Drosophila melanogaster: one gene and its partner. The gene in region 2 interacts genetically with the main gene of each other region. Each region holds a gene or a part of one and is shown on either strand. Other genes may lie near its edges. The genes, in order: Tbce and Tbcd.

Region 1 (5,229 bases), on a different chromosome or scaffold from region 2:
ATGATTGTACCGGCTGCATTGAGTCGAGGGGGGCAATTTCTGATATTCATAAGCGAAGCACTTGTATGTATATGAAAATGTGTACATACATCTGCGGATGTGGATTTCCACTGCAACCGCCCGTCGTCAATCGCAAATTGGATTAGCAGTGGACGACGGTTAGGGGGGCGACTGACCCAGAAAAGATGATAATGCGGTGCCGGCAAGAAATAATACTTGTTAAACTTACTACATATATATCATTGACAGAAACACCCTGACTATCTTTTTATCTCTGATTATCTTTTTTTTTTCAAAAATTAGCTCACTACAATCCACTCTTTTTCAGTATATACGAATGATATTACCGTGCACTACAAGAATGCAAGCCCAACTGCAATTAACAGTAATTGGCGTAGCCATTCAGCAGCATTGCAAAACTACAGAAAGGGACCAAAAATGTAGATTTGAACAATTTTAAACTGGCTGGATATTGACTCGCATCAGTAATATAAAATTCTCCATAAAAATGCACCTCAGTTTTCAATGATAAAATAGAATGTAATGATAGATAGAATGTAAATGATAGAATGATGCGTTTTCGACCTTATAAAGTATTTTCCTTCAGGATCACTAGCCAAGTCGATTTGGCCGGACGGACGGACATGTCCCGATGAACGTCGAGATCTCAGGAACTAAACAAGCTAGAACGTTAAGAATAAGCATGCTGAAACGCAGGTACTGATGTAGCCACGCCCACAACCTGCGAAAAACTGTCACACCCACACTTAAAAATTTGTTTTTCAATTTCTATCGATATGCCAAAAAATGTTTCAATTTCTCGTTAGTAATTCCACTAGCTGGAGTATCTGATAGTCAACGAACTCGACTATAGCGATCTCTCTTGTTTTTATTTACTTGCGCACCGGCCATACATTGGTTTTACATTATCCACCACTTTTTTGGTGGCCGCAAATTAAACCGAATAGGATTATATTTTTAGATTATCATTGGGAATGAGTTAGAATTAATTTAATAACAATCTAATAGTAAAATTTACTGGAGCAAATGAATGTAAATATGATTGCGAAAAATTAACGACACTGATCAAATATAATTCTGCTGCAAAGTGCTCAAGTGCATAATAAACATTTGCAGGACACTCTAGGAAGTCGACAAAAACAATACATATATATATGGGGATATACTGTCCGCTTGCTTAAAAATGTCTTTCATGGCTCCATATTTCAGATCTTAAACACCGCACTTGAAAACACCGAATTTAAATTATCTCAAAATCAAAGAATCCAAATTAACATTACAATTAAAATACGGCGGGTTGCTAATGAAATTATGTATTTTTTTTTTCTAAAATTATTAAAATTAGAGAATATCTCGAACTCAATTTGATAAAATATTTACTAAAATAAGTAGCTACGAAGGGGCATTAGTGGTAAACACATTAACAAGCTGTTAGCTTAGTACAACATTTGAATTTGAAAATGGCGCACTATCAGAATGACTATCGATGTATGCATTACCACGAAAGTTACTGCACTACATGTAGAAAATACAATCTCCTTGAAAATCCCAAATAAATAATAATCTCATAAATAGTTTATAAATTACAAGACTTTTTATGAAACTCGCATTTTAGAACATCTATGAATCGGGTATTGATTTTGGCTTCCTATTTTATATATATTTTCATGTAGCTTTTAAACAGTCGTATATAAATAGATCTGTCAAAACAATGAAGAAACATGTTAATATTAAAGGCCCCAAGATACAAAAAATTCGCAATTCCTCAATCAATCGCTGCGAACTCACTTGCGCGCAAAGCTGTTCAATAATGTTTTATTCATAAAGTCTTGCTGAAATTCTCTGTAGCAAATATCATTTAGCTAGATTTCAATCTTTTGTATTTTTCAAAAAAGTCATTTAGAATGTGACACAAAACAGTTTCGGTTCATGAAATAGGACTTATCAGCGACTTTGACATATTTAATTGTTATTAATGGCTAATATTACATACCTTTAACAAGAACGTAGATCGAACTTGATATAATCGTCTGATTGACTGAGATGGCATTGGAAAAGTAAAAAAAACCAGGAAGCAATTTAAGGTATCATTTTTTAAAAAAAAAGTTGTTACCCTACGTTGGACGTAACGAATCCTTACGTTTTGCTCATTTAACGCCCCTCGAAGTGTGACCAGTCCGCGTAATGAATAGGTATTTCATTGATATCTGCTTACAGCCACATTTGACTAAACACTAAATATAAATAATAGTTTGTGACTCAGAATTTAGGCTTCAGGAGCTACGCAAAGCTTTATTTCCTCTTCATCAAAGCTGTAATGTTGATGTAAATCCAGGAGAAATCGTTTACAGCTATATCTGAACACATTCTGGGAGCAGCTGCGAATAAGCAGACAAAGGTGTGAACGAGTGTGTAACAGCCGTGTATACTTGTGTGGGCGCCGAGGAAACTACAAACAAGAGCCAAAGCGATGGTGGGAATTATCGATGAGGTGCAGCTTTTTTATCCCCTAGGAACCCGCATCAAAATTGGGGACAACTACGGCACAGTGCGTTATGTGGGAGAGGTGAGCCGTTGGCTGGTTTGGCTTCCGCAGGCATAAGACTTAATCCCAACCTGCTATCCGTATTTTTAGGTGAGCGGCCATATGGGTAGCTGGCTGGGAATAGAATGGGACGACGGACTGCGTGGCAAACACAACGGCATCGTGGACGGCAAGCGCTACTTTCAGACGCAGACACCCACGGGAGGCAGCTTCATCCGACCGGGAAAGGTAGGGCCGTGTGCCACCCTGGAGGACGCTGCTCGGGAGCGGTACCTAAACTACGACTCGAGCAACGTCGACGAGTCTCTTATCCGGGAAGCTCAGGCCAGCCTGCAGGCGTCGCTTTTTGAAGTCGTGGGCATGGACAAGATCGCTCGCAAGCAAAGCAAGTTCGAGCAACTGGAGGAGGTGAGTGTAGACCAGACGCCGGTAAACGCTGCCGGTTACCTGAAGGAGTTGACACACCTCACAACGTTGAACGTAAGCCATACCTTAATCTGGAATTGGGAGATCGTGGCCAGCATAGCGCAACAGCTACCCTCCTTAACCAACCTGAACCTGAGGTAAGTAAAAATAAGTAAAATGTGCCACTTTAATTGCCAAACCTTTTAGCTCCAACCGATTGGTCCTGCCCACGTCATCCCAAATCACTGAGCTTGAGCCCTCATTTCGGCAGCTCAAACGCATCAACCTTCGCAGTTGTGGCTTTTCCGACTGGAAGGATGTAATGCACACAGCGCTTCTCTGGCCAAATATTTTGTCACTGGGCTTACAGGAGAATTCACTCGGCCAGCTAGCAGAAGTCGATCGAACAAAGATATTTAAGCAGCTACATGAACTCGACTTACACCGCACGAACATTATGGATTTTGACCAGGTGACAAAGTTGGGCAACCTCACGACTTTGCGCTTACTGAATATCATGGAGAATGGTATCGAGGAGATAAAACTTCCCGACTGTGATTCACAAGAAAAGCTTAATATTTTTGTCTCGCTGGAGCAGCTGAACCTGCTTCACAATCCCATTTGGAATGAGGTAGGGCAGCGTTTTTTTGGCACTAAAAAATTTACTGTCATAATGTTATCCTCGCAGGCTGATGCGTTTAACGAGCTGGACAAGCTGCCACAGCTGAAACGCCTGAGTAAGACTCCGCACTTAAAGTCAAACTTTGATGAAATGTTCTCCAAAGCTGTAGCTAGCATAGCCAGCCTGCAGTTCATTAATAAAGCCGAGGTGACAGCGGAACAGAGACGTGGAGCCGAGTACGATATTTGGAAAAAGTATGCTCTAGATTGGATGCAGGCGACGCAAGGGGGGACAGATTCCTTACGGGAGTTTTGCCGAAGACATCGCACCTACCCCCTGCTGGTTAAAAGTAAGCTACTATCTGCCTTGGACATTCCAAAATTATTTAATATATATGTTTACAGAGTACGGTTCCCCGGCAGACTTTGTACCGCGTAGTCAAGCGAAGCAGTCGAATTTGATTAATGTTTCCATAAGACATCAGCTGACGGGCGAAACCTGGGAGAAGAAAGTCCCGCGAATGATTACTGTGCAGACGCTGCAGGGATTGGTTATGAAGCGATTCCGGTTAAGCGGTGACGTCCCGCAGCTTTGCTACGTTGATGCGTTGCATCCGGATCTTGTGGTACCATTGGATAACAATGCTAAAACACTGGACTTTTATTCTGTACAGGAGCATGATACAGTTTTGGTTCAATAGCGGCCAGTATAATAGCACGGACTTTGCACCATTCTCCGTATTTAGATGTATTACAGTTTTAGACAAATGAAAATCAAAAATTCTTGTTCGATTTTACTTCTGTCTCCCTCTGTTTTAAAGTGCAAATGTTATGTTAAGGTACTAATAAGTTGAACATTTCACTAAGCAATTCCACTCAGATATTTATACTGTTTTGCTTTTCAAAAAAGAAAACACGTTATTTAACCAGATAATTAAAAAAGCTTTTTTGCTATTATTGTGGGACATAACGATGTTATCAGCTGTATTAAAGTTGAAGTAAATGTGTATTGGATTGGAAATCAACAAAAATACCGGCCGACGGCCATGGCAAGTTCGACAAGCGAAGCTACTGATCCTTGTCGAGAACATATATATTTTAATATCTTAAAAGCGGCGGGCGCAGAAACGTTATCTTTTCAATTTATGAAGCCATGCTAATAATGTGGGACATTTTTCTTTAGCGACCTCAACAGTCCGATAACTTCCTTACTCGTATAGTAAAAGGTAACTATAATTGTAGAGAAGCGCAACCTTGTTGTCGAACAGTTGCTCCTACTAGTTGAGCAACAGGTAGCTAGTTTTCTCTGATGTTTATTACTTTCCTCTGGATTCTATAATCAGCAATAATTTATGAAGAATGTAAATTCAACAGCAATTCTCAGTTTCCAAAAATATTTTCCCTAATGTAATAAATCGCTAAAATTTGCATAATTCGGCTCCAGCAACTGTCGCCTGGCATTATCATTAATAGAGTCGGACTTAATTGTTGACAAAGTTAAAGTTGCTCATAAAACAGAAGGAACCGCCCCCACGAAAAAGTAAGGCATGTTTACGACTTGCAGACAATACATTATTAATGAGTGTGTCGGCGGGTGGACTGCGTGAAATATCTGCCCGGATGGGGAAAGGTGCTCT
Region 2 (6,478 bases):
TAGAGGCTGCTGTGGGCTGGCCGAAGAGGAGCTGAAATCGACGTGAATGCTAGTTAGTTATCGGCAAAAACATGAAAACACGGATCGGTTTGGCCAGCCGGCCATAACCTCACTTACCGTATGCCGGCGGCGAGCGCTGCGGCACTGGACCCAATAGCCTTCTGTTGGCCAGGATGTACGCCTGCCGGATGAACCTCTGCGTCAGACATCGGACCCCCCAAATACTCATCGTGATTTGCACTGGCTGCGGAGTAGGTGACACCACAATCCACAATTGTGTAACGTAACAACGTTGTGCGGCGAAAGAAACGTGTGTTTTGCGAGTTCGTGTTTTATTTACAAAAAAACCAATTTCTATGACAAATTTCTCCGTGTGAAGTCCGGCGGTGTTTAATTGATCTCGACTCCTTTATCCCTCCTTGCTTTTGGGTAGTCCGCGTTTAATTTATATTTATTTTTCATTCCCTCGCCTGTCTTGTTTTTTTCTGTCTCTGTCGCAGTGTGACCGTCGCAATGAAATGGGAAATGGCCCAGCGCCTATTCGAAATTATTTGGCTTGAAAATAGCCACTTTTTATCAAAAAGTGTTCGTTGGTTTTTGAAATGTTGAACAATATTTAATTTATTTTGAGCAAGTGAAATTTTAAAATCGAACTTACAAGCTCTTTGTTTTGAAAACGATAAATATTAAAAAACATGTTAAAATAAAGATGTGCTTCCAAAATAAAGAATAAAAATTCTTATGAATACCACTTATGTATGTTGTCAGTACAATTGTGCATTAATATATATTAAATACATGTGGGAACATTCATTTATCAGCACTCGCTTGCTGCAAAGCGGCTGCAGCAGCTGCTCCACTTACGGGAGGCTTGATGTCCATTAGTTGGCACAACTGGTTCCGCAGCGGACGCACCTCCACCAGCGGCTGGGTCCAGTCCGTTTCGGAGAGCAGTGTTAGGATCTCATCCATATTCTCCTCGGGCACTTCGGTGACATCGCCGTGCAGAGCCAACGCTTCGTACAATTTTGTGGCAGCGGTTTTGCGAACGTGGACGTGCTGCAGTCCAAGAAATACTGAGAGCTTGGAGAGGATGCGTTTAGACAGGCGAGGAACCTGGAGCAACTGGCAAAAAGCACTGATGCTGGTCGCAGTCTTGTACAGCTTCTTGTAGCCCTTAACCTCCAGGTTGAGCAGCCTAAAGATATCCTCTGCAAAGGGATTTGCTTCATCGTGTAGAACCGATTCTACAGTTCCGGAGCCAATGAGTATATCCAGGAAACTGAGCAGAGGATAGGTCACGCGCTCGTTTAGTAGATGCTCCTCGAAAATCTGGACCACCTCGGAGCAGAGACGCGGAACAGTCTCAGGATTGGAACGCAAGAAGTGGAATAAGGCACTGGAGGCATACTTGATCTGCAGGAAGAATATTTTAGAGATTGATATAGAGGTGGTCTATACAACTTACAAGAGATTCAGTCAGTTGACCAATGCTGGCACTCAGACCCAAAAGAACTCTTTTAGAGTAATCCGGCAGAGAGAGCAGCTCGCAGAACAGCGGGAATGTGTGATCGGCAAATAACCAAAGTACGGAATCCGCATCCGCGGGAAATATTTCCAAGAGTTTTGAGTGCTCCCGTATGTAGGGGATCCTCGGCTGATGATGGATCAGTTGGCAGCAAAGGCGACCACCTAATCCACGAGTGCGATCGATCTTCTCCACCGCCTGTTGCATAAAGCCCACGACAATCTCATGCACTTGCTCTGGGGCGAGGAGATCAGGCGGACACGTAGTGACGATTTCGTATAGCGATGACATAGCCGCCTCCCTCACCCACGCTCCGATGTCACCACGGTTGTCCAGGGTGTACTCTTGAAGAGCTCTTAACAGGCATTCGATAACCTTGTTAAAGTTTTTCGGCTCAGCAAATGAGTCTGAAAAAATAATTGTATACTAAGATTTGTTCACATTCTTAGCCCACAACTAAGATCATTGACTCACCAATTCCCCCTCCATATCCCACGGTCTTCACCAACTTGGTCAAGGCCAGCACGCTCTGTGTCCGTGCCTCGCTCCACCTGTATGCCTGGATGTTCTCGCGGTCACCCATTTCACCCACCAGAACTGCTTGCAGTGGAGTTAGGGAGTGCTTCACCAGACTGTCCAATATAGCCTGCAGATGACAGCGGATCATAAAGGATGGGAGCACACCCAGAGCAGCAATGTAGCCCATGCGAATGTGCTCCTCCAAATCGTTATCTGCACCTGTTAGATAAGTGTTGATTATGGCTTCGTTTTCCCCGTGCCTGGAATCTGAGCAGTAATAAGTGGTACAGAGTTCACCGAACGCTTCCACCGCACCATCCCGAATAGCGTTTGATTTGGTGATCAAACAGGAATCGATGACTTTCTGCCAGGAAACTGAAACGAATAAACGCAATTAAATAATATGCTTGTTATACTTTAGGGACTCTTTTCCTACCCAAGCACTCCGGCGTAGCCTGCAACTTGGCCAGACTGCAGTTCTTTATGTAGCTGCTGGTGCAAGATTTCATCAGGTCGCCGCTCATTCCGCGATAGAAATTTTTGTCTAGGAACGTTATTATTAGTTCATTCAGCTCCGCAACCCGTTGGTTGGAGAGGTAAACCACTTGGGGATCACTCTTTTCCTCTAGTTTCCGTAGGGTCAGTGTTATTTCTCCCATGGCTAAGACACAACCATGCCGGCAGTTAATATCGATGGTGTCAGTTTTTGCCAGCAGTTGCGGCAGCACCACAGCGGCCATGTACTCGGGCTCCCAAAGGGATAGTTTGTGCAGGGCTTTGGCTGTCAGCTCCCTTATAGCCGAATCCCAATGGCTTACCTTATGCTGAACTAGATGGTTAATCAATGGTTCCCTGTACACCTCAAACTGTGCAATGTAGTCACTGATGTTTAGATAGGAATTCTGCCTGATGCCCACGGAATAGAAGTCCGTCGTGGTGGAGATTTCGATTCCGAAGGGAAAGTTGCCCAGGCGTCCCACACTTTCCTGAAAAGCTGCCGAGGCAGCCCGCCTGCAGTTCACCTCGCGGTCGAACACTGCAACGGTCAGCAGGCCAGATGAGATTTTGTGCACAAATGGCTTCACATCATCCGGATTGTAAGCCCTGGCAAATGCCCAGCACATGTAGCAGGCTGAATCTCGGATGTGTTGCCCCACCGACATGTAGCCCTTCATCTCGTCGTAGAAGAGCGCCTGCATAAGGAGGGGTACTAGCTCCTCCAATCGATGTGGCAGCAGCAATCCCCTTTTTGCCAGTTCTGCCAAAGCCAGGCATGCACCATGCCAGGCCTCGTGGGGTTCCAGCGGGTTGAGTATATCAATCACAGACCCTATAACCTCATCGGCCAGCTCCTTGGGAAGGCGATTGGTGACTCTGCCTAATCCTTTGGCGGCGCTCCAGCGTATATCGTTTCCTCCGCTTCGCAGTGCCTGGAGCAGCTCCTCAATCACCTCTTCTATGGCATCGGGGACCACTATTTCCTCGCCTTCCTCCAGGGATTGCTCCAAAACAACTGGTTCACCTCCTGCCGCAGTTGTCTGGTTTAGATTGGTGGCCAGTGAACGAGTGCCTAAGAAAACACTAGTTTATTATGGTTTCATGCGTGAATAACAAACCCCAGGCTTACCTCTTTTATACCGCCAGCTGGCAATGCGTGGCTTCAAATGAACCAATCCAATTCTCTGGATGATTTTTACATAGTTCTTGTACTTGAGAAAGTCGTTGTCATCCTTGTACTGACAGGAAGTGATCCACTGAAGAAGTTTGTCCGCATAGGGCAGAAGATCTTCTCGCTTTCCGTGCTTTAAAATAGCAGCCACTGCAGCCAGTTGGCCGAACTTGACGTTCAACGTGTCCGCTTGGTGCTGCTCCATAATCCAGTCCAGGAAGCGCTCCAGATATAGATCCTTGATGTCACTGCGAATGAAATACTTGGCGGCCAGGAAAGCAGCCATGCTGCTGCATGTGTCGTTGGAGGACACATAAAGCTGGATGAGCTCGAAGATGCGATCCATCTTGGTGTTCTTCGACTGAACATGGTTCACGGGACTGCAATTGGTGGTGGGAGCAGATGTGGAGGTGTCATAGGCATCTAGTCTCGACATGTGAAAGGGATTTAGGACCAGGATAGACATCCACAGGAGCAGTATATAGCGCGTTTCCCACTGTTCGAACTCCTTGGGATTTTGCTGACCCAGCAAATCCAGAACAAACTCCAGATCGCTCAGTTCGTGTGGCATAAACTTTACCAGGACCTTATAGGTGCGCACTTTGCAGATGATGTAGAGATACTTGAAGGCTGCATGAAGCTCTCCAGTGTCTAGATCTGGCTTCCGAATCTTGTGGAGCAGTTTGCCGAGTAACTCCTCCAAATGTGGATCCAAGAGGTGTGGCTGCTCCTGATATCTAGACAAAACCTGGGCGTACTGCTCGAACTCCCTTTCGAAGGTGTTAGCGGCAATGGATTTGATGTTGTCGATCATCTCCAGCACCTGCTGCAGTTCGGTGAAGTGCTCCAGCGTGTTTGCCGGCAGGTCCTCATCCTTGCACTCTTCCACAGAATTCGACATGGCTGCTTGACGATTTTATCGAGTTTTAAACCCACAGCCGGCAACAAAATCAATTCGTTTGTGAATCATTTGTTTTACTGCCAGGGTTGCAACCCCAATGAAAGTATGCTGGTATGACACCACGAACTGACTCGTCTCTTTCTTACTGTTTTTCGACCAAAAGGGTCTTTATCTAATTCTTTATCTTTAAACTAACATTTTTTTTTGGAATCAAATGCAGTTATTGTACATTGTGCTCTTTAAACGTTTGTAATAAATCCTACTAAATAAGTTCATCTAGTGTCATAGTGCCTTTGGTGTGGCCGTTTTGCATGCACCTGGTAATACCGTTAAGCAGCTGTTCGACCAGAGCTGCCAGGCGCAATTAATCATTTATTTGTAGTGGCAAGCGAAACTGCGAGATTTAGCAAGAGCAAGATTTTGTATATTCCACCAAAACGCAGCAAAGCAAGCCCGAATTTGGGATATTAAAAGTGTTACCGTCGGGTCGAAACCGCTCACACATTCGTCGAGTTTGCTGTGAGCGCGGTCATTGCTGTGAAAATTGCGTTGAAAATTCGGGATCCGCAAGTTTCGGAGCATTGCATTTGTGGACAAACCGCAATTTCTGGTCCACTGCGCCATGAAATCAGATAACTACCGTCTCATACAGGAGGTGTCCAAGCGGCGGTGCCTGTGGGACACAAACATGTCCATTTCGTACCGCAACCAGGACGCAGCTCTCCAGTGGGCGAGTGTCGCGCAGATAATGCAGCAGGATGGTGAGTGGCGGATAAACGAGGAGGGTTTTATATGCCTAGGAAACCTATAAATAACACCTGGTCATTTTGCAGTCTCGATCTGCAAGAAACGTTTCAAGGGAATGCGGGACAGCTACCGGGCAGAGGTGCGCAAGATACAGCAGAAACGAATCGAGATGTCCCACTGGCCATACTTTCGCTCACTGGAGTTCATGCGCCAAATCTTCGATCCGGAGGGCCTGGTGCCCTTTCCACCAGAGCCCTTCGTGATGAACACCGAGCAGCCGGAAGTCTTCGAGCCCACCCGACTGGTTGACTTCGCTATCGATTTGGATTTGGACAATGATGACTCTGTTGACTTTGAAATCATCGAGGACATATTTAAGCGGGAGCCGTCAGTGCCCCAGGACTCTGGCTCGGATAAAGGCTCGCTGATCAAGCCTTTGGATTCTTCATCCTCGGGCGCCCATCGTTCCGATCAGGATCTATCGCCCACATTGCCCATACACTTGCCGCGCCACCAACAATTCCTGCCACGTCCACCCCCGCCTTCGAAGAGAGGACGTCGGAGGAAAACTTCGCCGTCTAACGATGTCCCCTTATTGAATGGATACGCCAGCCAGGCGTCAAAGTCTACCACTGAACCCGATCTAAAGAACGATTCGGACTTGAGTTTCTTGATGAGCATGATGCCGCACGTAAAGTCTCTGTCAGCCATTAGCAATCTTAAGTTTCGAATGGAGATGGCGCGCGTTCTGGTGGAACTCAGGGAGGAGGATCAGCACATGCTCGCGGCGGCGGGACCCGAAGACGTTCTAGAGCGCAGCATGCCCAAACTAACACCAGCCCCGAATTCCAGTTTTGCCACTCAGCTGGAGAAATCCCAGTACCATCTATCCAATTCCAGCTACCAAATCAGTAGCCGAAAAACACCAACTTCGTTTGACTATGTCGACAGCTCCATGGTTGAGTGCGATGTCAAGATAGAGAATGAGCCTCTGCTATGAAGACTTCATACCAAATTTTTACGATTTTACATTCACCAATAATTCTCTAAGGAGTATTCCTTTCATATTGTTACAAGTCTTAGATGAAACCCTACTCATACATGAGTAGTTGTT

What was found.
Region 1: of Tbcd (region 2) and Tbce, changing one enhances a phenotype caused by changing the other (phenotypic enhancement), as found in Drosophila melanogaster (one study listed by BioGRID).

The regions. Positions count from the first base shown.
Region 1 is NT_033778.4:6,040,437-6,045,665, forward strand, and holds Tbce (Tubulin-binding cofactor E), read left to right. Parts: upstream 1-2,095; 5' UTR 2,096-2,213; intron 2,214-2,218; exon of another isoform or gene 2,219-2,272; 5' UTR 2,273-2,491; coding exon 2,492-2,587; intron 2,588-2,656; coding exon 2,657-3,129; intron 3,130-3,178; coding exon 3,179-3,602; intron 3,603-3,659; coding exon 3,660-3,942; intron 3,943-3,997; coding exon 3,998-4,293; 3' UTR 4,294-4,528; downstream 4,529-5,229. UniProt on the Drosophila melanogaster protein: Tubulin-folding protein which is required for the development of the neuronal microtubule network. Essential for the development and function of neuromuscular synapses.
Region 2 is NT_033779.5:2,145,786-2,152,263, reverse strand, and holds Tbcd (Tubulin-binding cofactor D), read right to left. Parts: upstream 4,747-6,478; 5' UTR 4,618-4,746; coding exon 3,675-4,617; intron 3,618-3,674; coding exon 2,484-3,617; intron 2,423-2,483; coding exon 2,003-2,422; intron 1,936-2,002; coding exon 1,469-1,935; intron 1,417-1,468; coding exon 811-1,416; 3' UTR 600-810; downstream 1-599. Other genes in the region: AIF (apoptosis inducing factor), read right to left, coding at 1-31, 118-229; CG11723 (uncharacterized protein), read left to right, coding at 5,240-5,378, 5,451-6,364.